Oreochromis niloticus: one gene and its partner. The protein of the gene in region 2 interacts with the protein of the main gene of each other region in a pairwise test. Links are inferred from orthologs where the notes say so. Each region holds a gene or a part of one and is shown on either strand. Other genes may lie near its edges.

The links.
Region 1: the proteins of ppp1r12a (region 2) and atxn10 interact in binary tests that used the Homo sapiens proteins (3 or more experiments, as listed by UniProt). The link is inferred for Oreochromis niloticus from reciprocal best matches to the Homo sapiens genes PPP1R12A and ATXN10.

The regions. Positions count from the first base shown.
Region 1 is NC_031981.2:6,401,225-6,411,317, forward strand, and holds the start of atxn10 (ataxin-10), read left to right. Parts: upstream 1-6,018; 5' UTR 6,019-6,050; coding exon 6,051-6,181; intron 6,182-6,765; coding exon 6,766-6,957; intron 6,958-7,283; coding exon 7,284-7,369; intron 7,370-7,835; coding exon 7,836-7,932; intron 7,933-8,037; coding exon 8,038-8,202; intron 8,203-8,301; coding exon 8,302-8,382; intron 8,383-8,895; coding exon 8,896-9,052; intron 9,053-9,223; coding exon 9,224-9,341; intron 9,342-9,574; coding exon 9,575-9,759; intron 9,760-10,093. UniProt on the Homo sapiens protein: May play a role in the regulation of cytokinesis. May play a role in signaling by stimulating protein glycosylation. Induces neuritogenesis by activating the Ras-MAP kinase pathway and is necessary for the survival of cerebellar neurons.
Region 2 is NC_031981.2:15,910,707-15,920,904, forward strand, and holds the start of ppp1r12a (protein phosphatase 1 regulatory subunit 12A), read left to right. Parts: upstream 1-6,111; 5' UTR 6,112-6,222; coding exon 6,223-6,459; intron 6,460-10,198. UniProt on the Homo sapiens protein: Key regulator of protein phosphatase 1C (PPP1C). Mediates binding to myosin. As part of the PPP1C complex, involved in dephosphorylation of PLK1. Capable of inhibiting HIF1AN-dependent suppression of HIF1A activity.

The DNA of each region.
Region 1 (10,093 bases), about 9.5 Mb from region 2:
TCTTCCAGATTAGCTTAATCTTTCAGTTCTTCAGGTTACTCCACAAAATAGCACAGCTGGTATATAGGACAGGTTGGACCGTCTATACAGGGGTGTCGAACTCCAGGCCTCGAGTGCCGGTGTCCTGCAGGTTTTAGATGTGTCCTTGATCTAACACAGCTGATTCAAATGGCTAAATTACCTCCTCAACATGTTTTGAAGATCTCCAGAGGCCTGGACATGAACTAATCATTTGAGGTGTGTTGACCCAGGGTGAGATCTAAAACCTGCAGGACGCCGGCACTCGAGCCCTGGTCTATACAGAGGATGGGCTATCTATACACCTGCTAGTGGTTTACCTTGGAAAACATGGCAGATAGTTACCCCCAAAAAGGAGAAAGATGGGTCGTAGAACGAACTGACAAAAGAAAAAGCAAGCACCAAAATAAAACATGGTAATTGTAACAGAAAGACACAGGACCAAAACTGACGGTCACATGAACCCTCCATAAGTCAACAATTTGTTATTTAACTGAAAAATCTATGAGGATTGCAAGCATATTTGTTACAGTTTAGACAGAGTGGCTAGTTTTAGTTTGGACACACTGGAATTGTATCCATTTTCCCCCCTACTCTTGGTGAGAAAGCAAATCAGATTTTTAAATTATTTGTAATCTTGATATTTGTTCTGAGATTTCTTGTAACATGTAATTTAGAATATTAGGAGACCCCATAGACCACTAGATGGGGCTTTTAAGTTGCCCTTCACCATGTGAATACTGTTTATATATTCATAAAGTAGTGATGGCATCTCTCACACACAAAGTTTCCTTTTAATACATTTATACACCCTAATCTTTGTGTTGGAAATTAAAGCTGCGAGATTAAAGTCACTTTTTTGCTCTTCAACATTTAAAGCACACAGATACACATTGGCTTTAATTCCTCTCAGTACTCATTCTTCCTCAGCTGTGGTCATTTTGAACCCTGAAACCAGTTTTTCCAATGATCACTTCCAAGTGGCCAAAGGATCAAAGAGGCCTCGCCTTAGAGGAATGCAAGAAAAATAAGCGTGGCTCTTATTTATAGGCACCTGGGGCCCAGCCAAAATGGTGGGCTCAATTAGTGGTAGAGCAGCATTTTAACTCATTTGATGGATGATGCTTTTAGTGTTGGTATTGGGTGGCTATCACTTAATTCGCTGTAATTGATACCAAAAGCCCAGTAGCTGCATTGGTCAGCTGAATAAATGCAACCAGACAAATTTTCCCCTCTTCCACTTTCCTCCCGCTGGTTTTCGAGGTTTGGTGCATGTGAAGCTGATTGAAAGTGCCAAGGTATGAAATATATGTCAGTGTAATTCTGCAATATCTTTGGATGATATAACAATTTCCAAAAATGGAAATAAATGGAAAATATAGTTTTCTGCATGGCAAAAGTAATATTACCTGCTTGTGGTGGCCTTAATTCCTTAATGCTGATTCAGTTGCTGATTTTGAATCGGTTTCCTTTCCTTCCTCAGAAATGCGAATGTGCCATTGGATCACAACAAATGACATTCCCTCTTACATACCCTCTTCTGGATTTTTCTCCGCCTGTTTTTCCTTGGTGGCACTGCAGTGGTGTGGAATACCACACAATCATTTCTGTGGCTTGGCCCCGTTTCTCAACGAACAACTTGGACTCACCTGCTTGTTTCTAATTACATGGCTCAGCTCCCTCTACAGTTTTTGAGGTCGTGTTGTAAAAGCACCACTGTCTTCACGTTAGGGGAACCCTCACCCACTTGATTCTAGGGTTTGGAATCAGGGTTTGGCCTCTTTTTAAGGCGCCCATTGCTCGGTTTACCATAGAGGTCTATGGGACTATTCAGGTGTTGCCAGGTTCCTCTTGCTCAAGGCGGCTGTGGGGCTTTAGTTAAAGTCTTTTTATATGATGTCTTTTGAATTCTGTATCAGTCACACATCTCCCTCAGATTGCATTACAGATCCCACTTTTTCCTCGCATATTGTCTCTTACTGATGGCTCCTCTCTGTCACACTTAGGTCCGACAGTATCACAGCCACTCAGTCGCTGTGATGTCCTAAGGCCTGCCAGCCATGTGACACCAACTGTGTTTTTAACCTCATCAGCCCAACCGCCATCTCTCTGCCAACCTTCAGAGACTGTGCTGAAGTGGAGGGTAAGGCAAAGTGGAGCAAAAATCAATTTCATCTATGTTTGAAACCGTGTGTGTCTCTGGTGTCTGGTATCATATTATTAAAGAAGTAGGAACTTTAATCCAGGAAATTATTTGCAAGCATTATGACTCTGCTAAAGATAACATTTGTCTCAACCTGCAGAACAGTTATTAAATCATAATGTAAAAATGTGTGTGAAACACTGAATGCACATTGTGGTTTGCTTTTTTAGTCTATTAAAAACCTTAAACCATCTTTTTGCATTACAAATAGTTATACTCAGGACAGCTTTAGAGGTTAACCCTAAAGGTGCCACTGGTGTTTCTTTGAGAACCTGGAAGCAGATGACCACTTCTCTTTCGATGTGGTGAAGTACTTACAGTAAAGAGAGTTATGGTTACAAATGGCAGTCAGTTTTCTATAATATAGTTTTTTTTAATCAACTGTGCATTTATGGTCTATTTTTACATTTAGATACTATATAAACTGAAAACTTACTCATTCAAATCTGTCACTAATCACTCAGGTAAAATCCAGCAGATGAATCTTATAACTGGTCCCAAGGACTTTGTGTTGAAGGTGGCTTTGAAACCATCCAGGCCTTCATCTCTGAATTCTGCTTCTGAGGTGAGATTAAAAAAAAAGCAAAAAAAAAAGCTGTTGACCACAAGATTAAAAGCGCTAGCAGGTTACTATAGTAATGGGTCCTGGCATTTTTGACACAAACCACCTAAACACTGCTGCGTACCAAGCATTCACCTCCATTGCAAAAACATTCCCCAACAGGAAAATGTGGTCCACTGAGCCTTGAAAAATACTTGCAAATGGCTTGATAACATACTGAATTAACACTTTACAGTCTCTGAACATGAGCTATTATGAGCTCTTCCATTTTTTAAAGTGGTCTTGAGCAACAGTTTTCCCTTGGCTCAGCACGGTGTGCAGTGGGTCCTTAGAGCAGAGAGTGGAGTACGTTGTCAACTAAAGCTAGCAAGTTTAGTTAGCAAGTCACAGGGGGCTTGTTCAAATTCAATAGAATAAGATATAAAGCATTCTTTCTTCTTCTTCTTCTTTTGTCCTTAGCTTGCGATTGGCAGGGGAGGTTGTCCACGTAGCCAATAAGTCGCTGTGGATGCCGTGGGGTTTCCAGCTTGATCAACGATGCACTTACAGGCCTTGTGGTCTCTTGCCTTCACCTTTGCTTGCTTGAGGGTTAGACGTTGTTGTTTAAGATCATCTTCAATTTCCTTGATCCAAGTCTTCTTGGAGGTCTCTCATCACTCTCACTCTGATGTTGCTGCATCAAAAGGCGGTATGGCAGGCGATGGTTGCTCCTGCGGCAGATGTGGCCAAACCATTGCAGTCGTTGCTTCCTAATCAGCTCTTCCATTGAGGCCTGCTGGTGACATTGACTACTTATCACACGTTGCTGAGACTATCACGGAGGGACACTCGGAGAATCTGACGCAAACAGCGCGTTTGGAAGACCTCGAGCTTGTTGAGGTCGTGTTTGAGGATGACCCAGGTCTCCGACTCATAGAGAAGAATGGGGAATACCAGTGTATGGTACAGGCGGATTTTGACCAATTCTTGAATTTAAGAATTCAAGAATATAAAGCATTAAAACACATTAAAAAGACAACAGCCGTAATGAACACAGTGCAGTTTGAACCCACAAGCAGGGTTTTATATGTCATCATTTTACAACTGGATACCCAGAGATAGTAGCTAATATGAGCTTTGTGCGAAGTACTTCTTGGATTAGGTGTTTACACAATAAACTGCACAGAAATCCATATAATTTTACAGACACTGATTTAAAAAAAAGGCTCCAACACCACAAATATGCTAGAGAAGTCCACTTGAGTGACCCCAGTTAGCAGAGGTGATGTCTAACAGGACATGAATGGGCACAAATGTCCCTCAATCAGTCGCAGCAGATGGCTGTGTTACGTTCCCCGTAACAGGCTGCTCTTGCCCCTTCTACAGCCTGGTTCTGCTGGAGACTGCTTCTGGTTAAAAGGGAGTTTTTCCTTCCCGTTGTTGCCAAGTGCTTTTTCATAGGGGGTCACCTGAGGGGTTTCTCTTTGCATTACTGTAGCTGTCTTTACTTTCCTGTCTTTACCTTACAATATCAAGTGCCTTAAGGAAACTGTTTTGTGTTGTCTTAACACTACAGTATCCTAAATACTTTTACTTTTGTTTCATGTATGTCACATAGCAGAGATTTTCTTTAATTCAAAGCAGCAAACAACTATTCAACCGCAGCCTTTCACTCAAAACCAGAAATTAGAGCACTCAGGGGGATGAAAATGAGAAGGTTACATAATGTTGAGTCCATGAATGTCTGAATTGAAGCACTTCTTCACAGAGCCACACTTCACGCATGGCTGAAAATGTTCGCACCACAAATGAATTTCTCCTTTGTTAGCACTGTGCCAGATGTGTTGAAACATGGATTTTACAAGAGTGGAATGAAACAGGCTCTGGTATTAGACCATCAGGGTGCAAATAAACATTTATAATTTCCTTAACCACTGTGTGCTGTGTTTAGGTTCAGCTCAGTTTGCTGTCGTGAGCACCGCTGTGACAAACTGCTGCTCGACACAAGGAGCCATTTCATTTCTCCTTGCATTTTTCTCTGTCTTGAAAGACCAAATAGACATGCTTCACTTGGTATTAAAGTGTTTCATTTAACAACGCTGATTGTGTTTTGTACAGACAAAATGTCCGACCATCTGTGAATAATAAAAACTGTGTGTGTGGTTGATTGTCTTGATGTTTTTGTTTTTTCTTTTTCCTAGAGAGCTAGATCGTCTGCCACAGCAGACTAAACCAGCCGTCGTCTAGTTAACATTACTGAGGTTTTCTAGAATGGCTGAACCCTGATAGGATGTCCTGTTTTTCCTGTAACTCAACTCTTCAGATTCCCCGATCATGCCACAGCATTTCCAGTTTGTGAGGATATTTCCAGTTATTCCACTTGAAAAATGAATAATGGGAATTCTATAAAGGGAATGTTTGCTTCTTTCGTTGCCTCATTTTAAGGCTGACAAATTGCTTGAGGTGGACGCTTCCTACCATCCGTAATCAACTCTTCTCAGCAGCGAGCTGCTTTTCACCACTGCTGTGCTGTTCCAGGCCAGTGGAAATACAAGGGACAACCATAATGGATCTGTAATCTAAAATTTGCCACTCTACATGGAAATCACAAAGGCTTGTCTTGCGGCTTTGCAGCTGCAGCTGCAGTAGCTGTTCCATAAACTATCTGGGTTGAATGGATTGACATTTGAACTTTTCAAATGTTGGTTTTGGTGAATGGATTTGAGATGTGAATGCAGCTGCAGCCTATAGCAATTTTAGGGAGGTTATAATGGGTACAAAATTAGACTAGTTTAAATAGAGTTTGGTCTTTCTATTTAAAAAAAAAATTTAGTTAGTTTTCCAAGTTCATAAAATAATTTCAGCTAGTTTTACATTTAAGTCTATTTTTTATTTGTTTTATTTTAGTCAACTAAAATGTTATTTCATATGTATTTTTAGTTTGTACCCTTTTTTTTAGTTAACTAAAATAACCTTGGTCTCCAGAATCTTGATGCCTCTCATCAGTTCTTACTTCTGTCTTTCTCAGTGCTAAGTGCTTAATCAAATCATTACAGTCAAACACAGAATAGTTAAGTGATTTTTACCCACAGTTTTATGCAAAAACACATGAAAATTCATTCTGTAGAGTTTATTTGCAGTCACAGCCTTCATTACAGAGCAGTCTAGGCGACTCTTCACCAAGAAAACAGCAGCACATGCTCAGTCCCCGCCCCCATACTGATTTGAACCAATAACGTCTTAAAGAGTTTTCCGGACGTCCCGCCCACAAGCGTGAAACAGACAAACATGGCAGCTTCCACAGACATCATCTTGGGGACCTCAGCGTCCATCGCTGGCATTTTAAATGAAAAACACGGACCTGAACACTTGCAGACTTTAAAAACATTTACAGCTGCGCTGCGGGATGTCGAATACAGGTGAGGTCTGGGTAATTTATTTATGTTTTATACGGAAATGGGCCGTATCAGTGCCGGTCCGGCTAAGCTAGCATTAACTTGAAAATATCCAACTGTCAACTACGCACTGCCAAATATAACGGCACGCCCGGTTTCTGAAGTCATTCAGACCTAATAATTGTCGCTGTAGCATAAAGAAAACTAGCACATATCCGCAGTATAGCTTAAATACGTGGTTATGTCTAAGTTCGGTTATTGCTGTTTTGTACTAAAAGCAGATTTTTAAGCATTACTGGTAGTTTTTTTTTTCCTGTGCAGAAGCTAACGCTGCTTATTAAAATTTAACGGCCTGTGCACGTGACATTATGCTCCTTTCTGTGGTATTTGTAGCACAGGAGTATCCCGCACATTGGATTCAAATTGTAAACTGCATGTTTATTTTTTTCTTAATGGAAAAAAGACAGTGTTTCACGCAAGACCCAGCTAATGTAGTGCAAACACCGCGTTATTAACTACATCTGTGTTTTATATCTGGTGGTCTCCCAGTGAGGGTACTGCAAATGAAATGAATCCTGTGTACTTGTTCACCTGTTTGTTGTTGTCAGAGATGCTGTGGAGGAGGAGACATTCTCCACTCTTGTGAAAGTCCTGACCAGACTATGTGAAGAGCTGCAGGCTGCCGGCTTGGACAGTGAGGATGTGCAGACTTTTACCCTGCAGCTCCAGCTGACCGCAGAGTGCTTCAGAGCTCAGAGGAACTCCTGTGTCCAGAGTAAACGTAACCAGAGTCTGCTCAGGTATCCCCGACGTCACAAAGCAGCAGGGGGATCTTTCAGAAACATACAAAATAATTAAGTAAACAATGGTCATAGAGTTTAGTGACTGATTTATTTGGAAGCACTGCTAAAAATCCTTCTTGAGCATTTTTCCTGCTAAAATTTGGCTGTTTATGTTTAAGGAACTTGTACAATTATATCTTTACAATTGCAGGATTTGTTGAAGTGCTATTTTTGCAGTTTATAATAATATTATGTCACAGTTTGTTATTGGGTGCCTCCTTTTTATTCTTATACAAAAGAAAAAGACAAAGAAGCACTTGACATAATGTGTCTTTGTCAACTAGGGAACTTGGTTTCATTGATGTATCCCTCAAACTCCTGAGATTTCTGTCAACTGTAAATATGGAGATTCCAGATACCATATTCGAACGTAAGTCTAAAATTCGGCCACTGATGCTTAAGGTACAGTAATTATGTGTTTTTCCTTTGTCCCTTTCAAAGCCAACTAAATTGTTTTGAGTTGAGCTATAGAGGTTGTTAGAGATGGAAGTAGATTGTGCTGTTTTTGTCTTGTGGTGCTCAAATTGTAAAATAATTTATGACGTTGACTAGTCAAAAAAAATTATTATGCCTTTGTGTAGGCAGTTTCATATAAGAACTATTTTCTGTCGACAGTCTACATCTGCCAACCAGAAGAAGTGTGCAGCCAGCTAATATTACAGGGTTCTTTGAGTTTTATAAGAAACCGTGCTGTCTAGTTCTTTTGTATTCAAGAGTAGGCAAAAACTTTTAACAGTCTAGAAGGACATAAACGCAATACATCATGGAGGAAAATGAATGGTGAATGAATCTTGAGTAGTTTTTCTGATTTTTTTGATCTGTTTTCTGTGGCTCAGCTCTTCGCTGTGGCATCCAGTTTCTTGGTAACTTGGCTGTTGGTAACCAGTTGTGCAAAGATGACATTTGGATGATAAGCTTCCCAGACCTTTTCCTGTAAGTTCTGTGTGCCAAAATTTCACCCTGATCTTTCTGTTTGACTCCAAAATCACATGCACATTCTATATTAGTAAATCTGTCCACCCGAACGTATGCAAACAGGCAGCTGCTTAGCACTGACGATGAGAAGACCGTGAACTACACCTCGATGGTAATCCACACATGCCTGGATGAGGCCAAGGTGGAAGATTTGTCCAAGCCACAGAACATTGAGCTGGCTCTCAGGGTGATGGAGCTCTGCAGGACTCAGCCTGAGCTGGACTGGACGTAAGTGCATCATTATGGTACTAACTTGAAAACTGTTGTTATGCATCAAGGGCATACTTAAGTGCTCCTTTCCCTTTGTTATTTATTGATTTTTTTCAGAGTGCTCATTGCAACACAGCATTTCCTGAGGTCTTCGTCACTGGTGGAGAACATGTACTCTGAGATGTCTCACCATGATAGGTACTTCATTTTTGTTGTTTGGATAAAAACATGAACAATTCACTCAAACAGAACTGGTTAAATGTATGCTAGCACCTTTCAGCCTATTATTTTAGTTTTTTGGTTTTTACACTGCATAGAAATGATGCACAGAATAGTAGTAAAAAACAGCTAATATTTAACCTTCTAGGACCTGGCGTCCACATATGTGGACATCACATTTTGGGATGTCTAGACCAAAATACTTAATTTTCTCTACAAGGGCCTGATATCCACTTACAAGGACATTATACAGCCACTGTTCTATCAACATTTAAAATGAATGTCCTCATATGTGGATCTTATTTTTCTCAGAAACAAAAATTAGGTAAAAAAAAAAAAAATCTGGTAATTCTTTGTTTTTACATTCATCAGGTCCCAATCAACCCAAATACCAAAGAACAATTAAAAGTGCATGCCATGAAAGAGTTCGGGTCTTAGGAGGTTAAATGAAAACTATAGATGCTTCATATAGATGTACATTTTGTTTTTCAGAGTTACTTTATTAGAGCTACTTTTAGCCCAGCTAAGAGAGGAGGGCTCAGAAGACTGTGGCATCCCTCCCAGTGTGGCTCGTTTCCTGGCCACTTCCTTCCAGAAAGGTTGTGGAGCTGTTCTCACACTTGCTACGGGTTCTGCGTCCAGTGATGAGGTACAGATCATAAATTCAACACATTTTCTGCAGGTTTTTCACCCTGCGTTTGTTAGCCTTACCCTGTGTGAAATGAATAAACTTATGTTTCAGTCGTTTTGACTCTCAGTATTGTGTCTCAAAAGATTCTTACTCTGTGGACTGCCCCCTGTTTGTTGCAATCCCCTGCAGGTCCTGCAGGAGGCGCTAACAGTGATTAGTCTGCTGGATGTGCTGTGTGAGATGACCTCAGACCACAAGCAGTTCATGTTCCTACAGGATCATCCAGACCTTCTAGTAACTACTGTTGGTAAATGAAAAACAGCCATTAAGTCAACAACCGAGCAACAGCAGACATTAAATTAAACAGCCCGCAAAGTCCAAATGCTGGAAAGTTTGAGGTTTATCATTTAATCTGTTTCTTAAAGGAGAAAAGCAGAATCTCATATGTCAACATCAGCCATAATTTGAATAGCTTTATGCTGCTTCTCAGAAGGTGTTCTGCTTTTCCCGTTGTCTGCCACAAACTGTCTGTCCATGCAGAGCTCCTGGAGCAGGTACACGCCACCGGGAAGGCCAGTAAGAATATTTTCAGTGCTGCTCAGAACTTCTCCTCCTTCAGTGGAGATGGAGACTCTTCTTCTTATTCTCCTGTCATCAGCTTTAAGGCACACCTCATCAGGCTCATAGGAAACCTCTGCCACAGCAATACCAACAACCAGAACAAGGTTTGGACAAATGAATGAGTGGAGGGATGGAAGTTCTGTTAAGTTTGTGGTGGTACTTGATAACAACTGTGACGAAGAGTGAATGAAAATTTTGCTATAAGCCATAATTTCCAGATCAGAGGTAGTTCAGTGTGCTGAGTCATATTTCCACTTCCACCTCAAAGTCCTTCATATGCTGCCATTTTTAATATGTTGAGAATTTACATACAGTATTTAATGATTATACTATAAGTGGGACATAAAGAGAACTTTATGTCTGTCTACCTATCAGAGACAGACACTCACAGAGTATTGTACTTAAATCTGTCGCATCTGAAGTGTTTCTTTGATTAAA
Region 2 (10,198 bases):
AAGCAGTCATTCCTGTTATACTTATTTGAAATCCACTTGTGTGGCTTCATACTGTTTGATCTTGGAGTGAGACACAAATCAGTCAGGAAGTGTATCTGGTATAAAAATCTGCTAAATCAAAACATGCAGACCTATTTGCCCTAGCAACCCCTTGTGAATAAGGGAGCAGCCAAAGTCCACTTGAAGTCTGCTGCCTGGGGCACATGCATAGCTGGTGCATTGTAATGTAAATTCTTGCACAGTTATAAAAAACAGACAGGGAGGCAAGCATCCGTACATAATCTTGCAACAATTATTTCTTTGGTTGTGAATTCTTCCTAAACCATCAGGAGTTGAACAACCTTAGTTGTATCAGATATTATGACACAATCACATTGCCTAGAAGTCAACAAGCATTTACGCACCCCAGTGCATAAATTTTAATTTTAATTTCACAGCCAGCAGCAAAAACAGGCCAAACAATTATGTAGCATGAGCGTATCCTTGTACATGTAAATTTAACAGCCTGAGAGAAAGACTCAAATCAATCTTCTCCATAAATCTTTGTGTTTGTGTGTTTATATGAGCATGTTGCTCTAGTGTACACGGGAATTATTATAGGAACTGTAGGAACCTTTAGAATACTGTATGGTTGACATCAGGCTGGATAACATCCAACGCAGCCTGTCCAGTAACATATAAATACATACACACTTAAAGAGGCACACGCTCAGGTAAACAACCCTCGTCAACCTCTCCAGCTGTCTTTCCAGGACACTTGACTTGCACACCTCATCTGTTTCCACAAACCACAAACGGTTCCAGCGGAAATACTCAGTTAAAGCGGTAAACAAGCGCTTCCTCTCAGGGATAAGTCATAGATGCAGAGGGCCCTGACGCTGGTGTCGTGATGCTTGGAACACGCCTACACTGACACAACTTTGAGGTCCGTCGCCGGGTTTTAATCACGCACGTCTCAGTGGCCAGAGACAAACAGTGAGAGTGCACCATTGTAATTTTGTGGCATCAATACACTTGAATCACTCCCAGACAGTTTTATCCCCTCAAGGAGCAGAAACAGAAGCAAACAGTCATAGGAGATCAAAGTGAAGAGTAATGAAAGACAAGAGTTTGCCTGGCAAATATACAATGAGACAGCCCTCTTAGTCACATCTGCATGTGAAAGGTAATGCTGACAAATGATTTTTGTCTCACTAAAGGATTTGATGACGACTCCTCTCACATCCCATTAATTATGATCAGCCGACACTGTGGCAAAAGTCATTTTACTGTTAGTCAATAAGCGCTCTGTGTCACTGGCATTACTGAGATAAATACAGCTGCTGGGAGGGAGGGGGTATAGTAGGATACATAAACAGGATGCATTCAAGATATTTGACTGGTGTTAAGTTAAGGATGTGGATATACATTGGACAGTTTCTAGGCCTTCAGCGCGACATGGGGCCCCTCTTACATAACAGTGTAGCTGACACTGTAGACTTTAAGTAGACTGTAAATAAAAAAGAGACTAATGGCAGGAATATCCGTGAACGACCGGCACTGGCTACAGCGAGGAGCTAGCAAAGCAGCACAAAAGAGGAATCCTATTATTATTTCATCATTTTCACACATTTTAGACATTTTCAGTTCACAATACTCATTAAATACATTTCCCTACATGGAAAAAAGAAAAAAAAAAGTAGACTGTAGCAGTCAGATGCATGGCACTTATAAGGAATATTCAAATCCATTGATGCTTTTCCATTGTTTTGGTTTCAATACAAATTTAAACATGTTTGGCAAGATCGGACGCAGCAGAAATGAAACACAACCAAACCTACATCCATTTTAGTCGTAGTAGTAAGTAGTAGCTGGGACCTAGCCCAGCTGTCATGAGTACACCCTGGACAGATTGCCAGTCTATCACAGGGCTAACATAGAGACAGGATGCCATCCACACCTATGACCAACTTAGAATTGCCAGTTAAGCTAACATGTATATTTCTGAGTGTGAGGGGGAACCTGGAGAACATGCGGACTCCACCCCGTCACATATTCAGAGCCTGGTGTTCATATGTTGACAGGGACTGGAAAAAATAATCTTACGAAACAATCTTTTCAAGCAACTGAACCAAAACCTCCAAGTAAGCACATTTTTTTGCTGTTTGTGCTGTCTGCAGCTCATAAACTCGCTGATGTATCACACAGATACACAAACACCTACACACGAGACTCTCTTATTACATTCAGAGCTGGAAGTGACCCACAGCGCTCGCCTTGTTCTGTCAGTCACTGTGAGGTCGACTCTCCCTGCCAAACAGCAGCTTGCACATCACTTTCCCTGCAGCCCTCCTGGTATCAGCACACTGAAGCCACTGGCCAGCAACTTCCTGACGCTGACGTTGTTGGTGTTCCATATCGCTCTGACTCATTAGAACCGTGCAGATTTCCCATGACATTTGTGTAACAGCCGAGCTGAGTGTCTTCTAAGTCCAGTTTACTGTGCTTTTAGGCAGTAAATGCTTCTGAAATGAAATAATATTGGGTTTATGTGTACACACGCCACACAATGGCTCATGGTGGCAGTTGTATAAATGTTTTGGTTCATGATTTTGCTTGAACAGCTTGTTATTCAGGATGTCAACTTCAAGTTCAGTTGGAGGGGGGCACCAAATTACGCACAGAGATTACCTTTCTCATTTTTAATGTCTTTAAACAGAAAAAAACCATCATTAAGTGACACCCTGCTGTAAAGAAAACAAGAGCGACTGCATGCTTCATACCTACAACTTGACGGCAACACCGCACCCCCTGCTGAGTACACATGAATGTCTGCCAACAATAACTCATGAGGGTGCCAAAAAACAAAAAAAACAAAACAAAAATCACATGCACTTTATGTACCACCCTGTTTTCACTCCAGATTGAACTGGACCACCCTGGTGCTTAAGTCTACTAACACTTCAAGTGTTCGCCATCAAATCATCGCAGGTACTCTGTAATAAGACGGCTTCCATTTCCCTTTGGGGAGCGATGTCTTTTTTATGACATGGAAACTAAACGCGTTACATAGTTGGAAAAGCCGTTTCGTGAATCTGGGTGGAAGAAAGGGGAAATACCGCCAAATGAGAGTTTGTTTAGTTAGCATGACAAAATTCCTTCCACTTCCTGAAATGAAAATAGCCACATCTGTAAAAGTTCATTTGAACCAAAACGATGATAATGAAGCATTTAAAACAAAAACAAAAAAAGATCTTTGTACACAAATACATAAACTGAAGAGAGTCACAGTGTGACACAAAGAAAAAAAGTAATTAAAACTGTTTTTAAGACAGGGTAAAGGTCTTTGGCAGAGGGAAATACATATGAAGATGGAAAATGTTGTAAATCGATCCACTAAAAAATAAAGTGCAGAAGCATATGGGGTGCTGGATGGAGCACAGGAAAAACTCTGAGTCGGTGTAGGTAGCAGATTTACAGGGTGGCATACAGTGGGACATATAAGTGAGCGCGTGCATCTAAATGCATGAATTTGCCTTTGTAGGCTGCCTTGATTCAACGACATGATTTTCCTGTGTTTTTCCTTACTTTCCCAATTTCAAAATGTCTTTCAAAAATACAAAAATAAAGCACCTTTATTGTACCACTTATACGCTAAAGGGCACAAATGCTTTCCACTGGGACGCTACTCTCTGTTTGTTAGCAGCCATGTTGTTTCTATCAATCCTGATAATTTTATACCTCAGCATAAATTTGGTTGGGATACAGTCGATGTTCTCGACTGTCTGTTTGAGCTGTCCAGTTATATAATACTAAGGCAAGTTCCTTATTCCAGCAGGGTTATTGCTGAGAGTATGTTACATTTTTTTTCTTTATATTATTATTATTAGTAGTAGTAGTAAGCTGCTAATGTATTAATATTATACTGTAATATTATAGATAAAGCTTCCCGGCAGTATATAATTACCAGCTATGGAGAGATTTTGTGTCAGCCAAATGTTATTACCACAGTTGCACAAAGGGGTAATAAATGGATGAAGTGACTGTATCAGTATACATACAGAAGTGATGATATTTTACATGATGTGCAGATAACTGCAGATAAGAATACAGGTGTGCCTTAAATCTATCCACGCCCTTTAGTGTGGCTTTGGCACCAAATGTTTTGAAAGAACCACCCAGAAGAAAGGGGAAACACCTCCACTGAGACAGTCTGTTTAATTCGAACAATAAAATCATTTCACTTCCTGAAATGAAAAACAAAACATGACTTTTGTAAAACTGATGGTTCATTTGAGTTGCCGCTGATTGTAAGACAACATAAAAAGACTCAATCAGCACTAATTCAGCATAAATAAAGGACAAAAATAAATAACAGACCCAAGACTCTGCTATAACTTCATAGTGATGCTACTAGAATACAATGTATTTATGATATTCTTTGATTTTCATGCAACAGCCTCCATCAGCCACAGAGCAACTTCGTTACATAGTCACCAATTGGCAATGCTAAAAAATGATAACTACAATGCCATTTGCCCTCTCCATTATTGATGGGTTTTAGGGGTCCAGACCTGCCTAAAAATGTGAATTGAGCCCTCTGAGCTGATTCTACAACCATTAATTAAATCAAGTCAGAAAGTTTGGTAATGAAAAAGTAAACACCCATGATGCCATAAAGCTGCGATGTAAGTTATTGCAGCACAAGCTGAAGTTAATTATTTGGTTAGCTGTAGTTTAGCGCTTCTGCAGCAATAGCAGTAACCAGCATGATGGAGAAGGGCACTGACGTTGGAACAGATGGCTCTGTGGAGGTTACAGTTTGGAAAGTACCTTGTATGTCGTTTTGGAGCTAAAAACAGGTCATTCATCTGGTTGTGCAACTACTCTATATGGACACACGTACTGGGCCACACCTCTTTCGAATTCAGATGTGCTCAGTCCCATTGCCACAGGTGTATAAAGCAATTCTGACTGCTTTTACAACATTTGTGCAAGAATAGGTCATTACAAAGATTTACTGAATTTTGTGTGATCAAGTATAAGTCATATCAGTAAAAAGTCAAAGCGTTAAGGTATCATAGCAGCTGTGAAGTTACAAGTGCTCTGGCGCATAGTGCAGAGTTGCATACCTCCTGTGGCATTAATATTAGCACAAAAGCTGTGCACCAAGAAATTTGTGGTATTCATAGGTTTCCAAGGAGAGGCAGTTCCTAAAAGTGTAATGTGTAGGTGGCCAAGAACTGTTGCTTTCTTGTGTGGCAAAAGAGCTAATTAAATTCATCTGACATTAAATATTTAAATATACAGTATATTATGCATTTAAAGGAGATCTGACGGTATTTCAGATGAGATACATGCTCTTTTCTGAGTATAATGAGAATACAGGTGTGCCTGAACGTTTTGGCTCGCCTTGCGATGTACCTTTAGCACAAAATGCTTTAAAAGAACCACCCACAAGACGTGGAAAACATCTGCAAAGAGTATGTTTGTTTAGATAGCATAATAAAATGCTTTCTGCTTCCTCAACTGAAAAGACAGGGGTGACGTCTGTAAATCACAAGTTAATTGATATGATTGCTAAAAAAAAGGACGGGACACACTGGAGAGATTATGTCTTATGTCTATGATGGATTGACAAAAGCAAGGTGTTGTGGGTGCACGTGCCACCCCATTGAAAAAATCCTGGAAACGTCCCTGATCCAGACCTCCTTTTCCTTTCCTTCACCCACAGAGAAGGTGGGAAGATTTGGTTGTTCTTACAGATAACACTGTTTTCTACTGCAGATACATTCACTGACATGTGGTTTTACATCACTTCTGTGTTCCCAGCTATATCACAGCAAACAGTAGCCTAGAGGCGGTCAAAAAATATTAGCTACTGCACGTTAGAGAGCCTCTCTTAGAATTTTTTTGTGAACCCGCAGAAGGTTATGCAATATTTTTAAGTAATCTTGTCTTATTTGGTGTGCACAGTCGATAAGGATTACCCTGCTCGCTCACTCACTCACTCTCCCTTATAATCCGCTGATGATGACGTTATACTGCAGTTCCTGGGCTTCAGATCTCGCGAGGTTACGGGAAACAATCCAGACGCGCTCTCTCTCTCTCTCTCTCTCTCTCACTCTCAGTTCCCCCTCCTCCCCAGCCCTCCCTTCCCACGCCCCACTGCGCTGTGGGATAGTGGCACTATAAAGTATATCCTCTCTCGGCGAAAGATAAGAAGCCCGAGACAGGAGGGGGATGAAGATGGCGGACGCCAAGCAGAAGCGGAATGAACAGTTAAAGCGATGGCTTGGCTCGGAAACGGACCAGGAGCCTCCTGTTTTGAAAAAGAAAAAGACGAAGGTGAAGTTCGATGATGGCGCCGTGTTTCTGGCCGCCTGTTCGAGCGGCGATACCGAGGAGGTGCTCCGAATGCTTGACCGGGGCGCTGACATCAACTACGCCAATGTAGACGGTCTCACCGCCCTCCACCAGGTTTGTGTTGGCCTGCCGTGTGTGTTTATGTCAGCAGCTGGTACCATTAGACATAAATATCGACTGGCTGCTAGCAAAAGCTTACCCTGGTACACCTGTCAAATGGAAGCCATTCTCATCCCGTTGTTTACCTACCTAGCATACTCGTCCTTCTCGAAGCAGAGAAGGGATGAACCCGTTGGCTTCCTCCTGAGGCTGTTTAATTGGTAAACCGCGCTAACTATGCATACACTTGCCTGAGTATAAGTGGCAAGAAGCAGCAAAGTCAAACACCTAATTTCCAGGGCTAATTCTACTTCATGCCTCCATAAACTAGCCTGAGTCTGTAGGTGCAGTCTAATTGCAGTACTGCTGCATTTTTCGGGTTGAAACATTGGCTCGGTTTTATGTTGTAAATGCAATCAAGCCAGACAAGCACCTAGTGTCTGTGTGGTCCATTGATTATTTTCGGATCCTACTTAGTGTGTTTGGAGCTTAATATAAATGATGTTCATGCAGAATGAACCCAGCAATAGATGGCTGCTACCTGGTTAGCAGTAAAAGTCGTTTTGTTGATAAACCCTCCCCGACTGTGGCTACTCTCTGGAGAGGAAGCAGAAGCTACCTCGCTAACTAGCTTCAGATACAACGTCATTCAGATACAGGCTAATGTTACGATTGCAAAACAATGATTGCTTGTCACTCTAACTTAAAAAATGCATCCCCTCATAAATATTGGGCATATTAGTTTAATTGCCAGGAAAGAGTGAATGGTAACAGCGCAGTATTAGCCCAGCGGATTGTCTGCTAACGTACTTTAGCATGCTAAGATAAATGTCGTTAGCTGTGTGGGGCTTTAGCTGAAGTTAATTCATTCATTAACTGACCGGAGAAACGGCGTCAGCGGTAAATTATGGGCCTCATAATTTTATGCTGTTTTGTGTATAGTTAATCGGAAACGGCTGTGTCGTTAGCGCTTTTGCTACACCGGGATGTTAGCCGTGCCAAGCTAGTCATTTGCCCGCTAACTGGGGTAGCTACTTTGACTAGCATCAGTACTTCCACAGCCGATAAACTGAAAATGGCACCTCATCTTGATGGGTTTTAGGCGGTATGAGGTAGTTTCAGTCCAAATGGGTTAAAAGCCTGATTTGAAAGCTTTATAAACCACCATGGATCCAGTGATGGAAGTGGGTTGCTTGTTGGTGCAGTAAGCTTACATAAAGTTGTGACCAGGTTAAGTCCAGTGAGGTGTGCAAAAGCTAGACTAGAATTAAAACTTAAATAACAAAGAACCTGATCGTGTAATTTATGAATTTGTTTCTGTTGCTTCAGATGTAGCTTTTACCATTAAACAAGTACACTTATTTTAAAAACAATAGGATTTAATAACATGTTTTTCAGTTTGTGCTTAATGGATCAAATGATTACGGGTATACTGTTAGCTTTTACAGTGACATTTTCATAAAGAAATCTTGCTTATTTTGTACCAAGAACATTGCAGTTAAGTGTTTTACTATTTGGTGGAAATAAGCAGGGTGAAGGGTTTGGGGGATTTCCCCTTTCTGGACTGCATGTTTCTGCCTCTGATAAATAATTTGTCATTCCCACTGGAAAATAAACTTTTATCCCCCCCCCCTTTCCAGGATTTTTGCAGTGTCTTGAAACAGTCAACAGTGCAAACATCAGTCCAATCAGAAACTGATCTCACTTTCAGTGCTTGTGAGGCTGCTGGGGTGAGATGATCAGGATCTATTCCATTCCAGCTTTTCATTAAGCCAAACTGTAACGTTGGATCTCTGGGTCCAGAGAGTTGCAGAAAAACCTCAGAAATATTGTGTGCCAACCAGTTGCCTCTGTGTTGACATCTGAGGTCTCTCCAAAGGTGATTTGTGCAGCTTCTTCTTTTCTTCTTTCTTCTTGTTGAGTTGCGGCTCGGCACCAGGACTGTTCTCTGCAACATCCTGCAGTCGTTTGTCGCCTTTTGCATGATGGCGCAGCTGCTGTGATAGGCTGATGGAGAGGGGTAGAAGCATTTTGTTTAAAAAGATCAACCTTAACCTGATCTTCGTTCACAAGTTAGAACATGCTGTCGAACATATTACAGAGTCAGATAATTTCCACATATTTATTAACACTCAAACTGGAAAGTGTGCTGCTGATCTCAGAAAATGAAGTCTCCTTCCCTTTACAGAGACTTTATGGATTCGGGTAAAAGAGGGTGATGTGTTTTACATTTGGGGTTATTTCAAATTAATCATTAAAGCTATGAAGCTAACATCCTCTGAAGAGGGAAACGGTGGTTGCCCCTCTATATATTTTTTTTATTTTTCTCTCCCTGCATATTGCATCCTGGATATCAGTATTTTAATTTGAAGAAATAAAGGATAATGCTGGTGGAAACGAGCATTTGTTTATCTTGTTTGCACTAGTGTGGATAGTGTTTACATGATGTAAGGATGTACAAAACTATTCACATTAAATGTTTTATACTTGCATAGATCTCCTGTGATGTCACTTCATTACTCATGTCCACATGTCTCGTCTTAGTAATTATGAGCACTGCTTTATGCACCACCTTGCTCCCATGGTGTGTTTGTTCTCCAAGACTTACGCCACTGCACAGATTAAAAGTTTTAAAAGCAGGTTTTAAGGCATGGGTCATCAGCTTTATCCGTATGTGATTTCATGTATGTGAATAGTTTTTTTTTGCATTAATTAATCCTGCTGGTAAATTAACCTTTCTTCAAGCTCGTAGTCTGCTTTAATGAAATCTGGAATTAGCATGAGCCCCTCCATGCAAACTCATTGGGTGGAAACGTTGCCTTTTTTTGGGCTGATGTCCAGAGATGAGCTTGAGTGAGGAAAGAATTTGAAGTGCCGCTCTCCGGACATAACCATCTCTGGAGACGAGGGGCTGCTCTGTGTGTGTGTTAAAGGCCATGTGATCTCTAGGTTTGGTGTTTTACCGAGGGGTGATGGAGGGATTTGTGATTAAAGGGTGAATCCCAGGTTAAACTGCTGTTAATTTTCTTGAAGATGAGCTGAACAGTCAGTAGCCTCTTTTGTCTTAATGTCTTTGTGTGGCTTTTCTTGTTGAATTTTAGACAGACCAAAAAAAAAAATCCCTCCAGAGAATATCTATCCTGGTGAATGAGTGACCTCTATCTTTGTTATGAAATGTGCCATGTTGCTGCATGAGGACTCGATCACTGGTGACCGGTGCAGCCAACACAAGTTCCTCTAACTGGGTTTCAGTAGATGATACTAAGTTTGGGTATGACTCAGTCTGTAGCTTTGCTTTGTAGTTCAGCTCTAGTATAATCCCACATTTAGGCAAGAGGTCGTCTCTGTGAGTCATGAACCGTCATGAACCTTGTTTCTTTAAAAATGACCTGTTGCTGATGAACCTGTAAACACGTCAATGTCTTTTTGCAGACCTCTTAAGGCGTGTGTAAGGTGATGCTTGACCAGTGATGACGATGATCAATGATGTCACTATGACTGTGTACAAGCAAGAGCACCAAGGTGAAAAGTCACACTGTTGCCAGGCTCAGTCCAGTGGACTTTGAAGTTCAGTTGTAACACAAACATAAGGACCAACGTCACATATTTTATTCTCACAAACCTCAAATATGCACATTTTGCAAGATTTAAAAATATTTATGCAACGCTTATTGCGATTACCATGCTGGAGAAAGCGATATACCACCTCATGCAGATGTAAACAAATGGAGACTTTGTTGCAACAGCTTGCTGG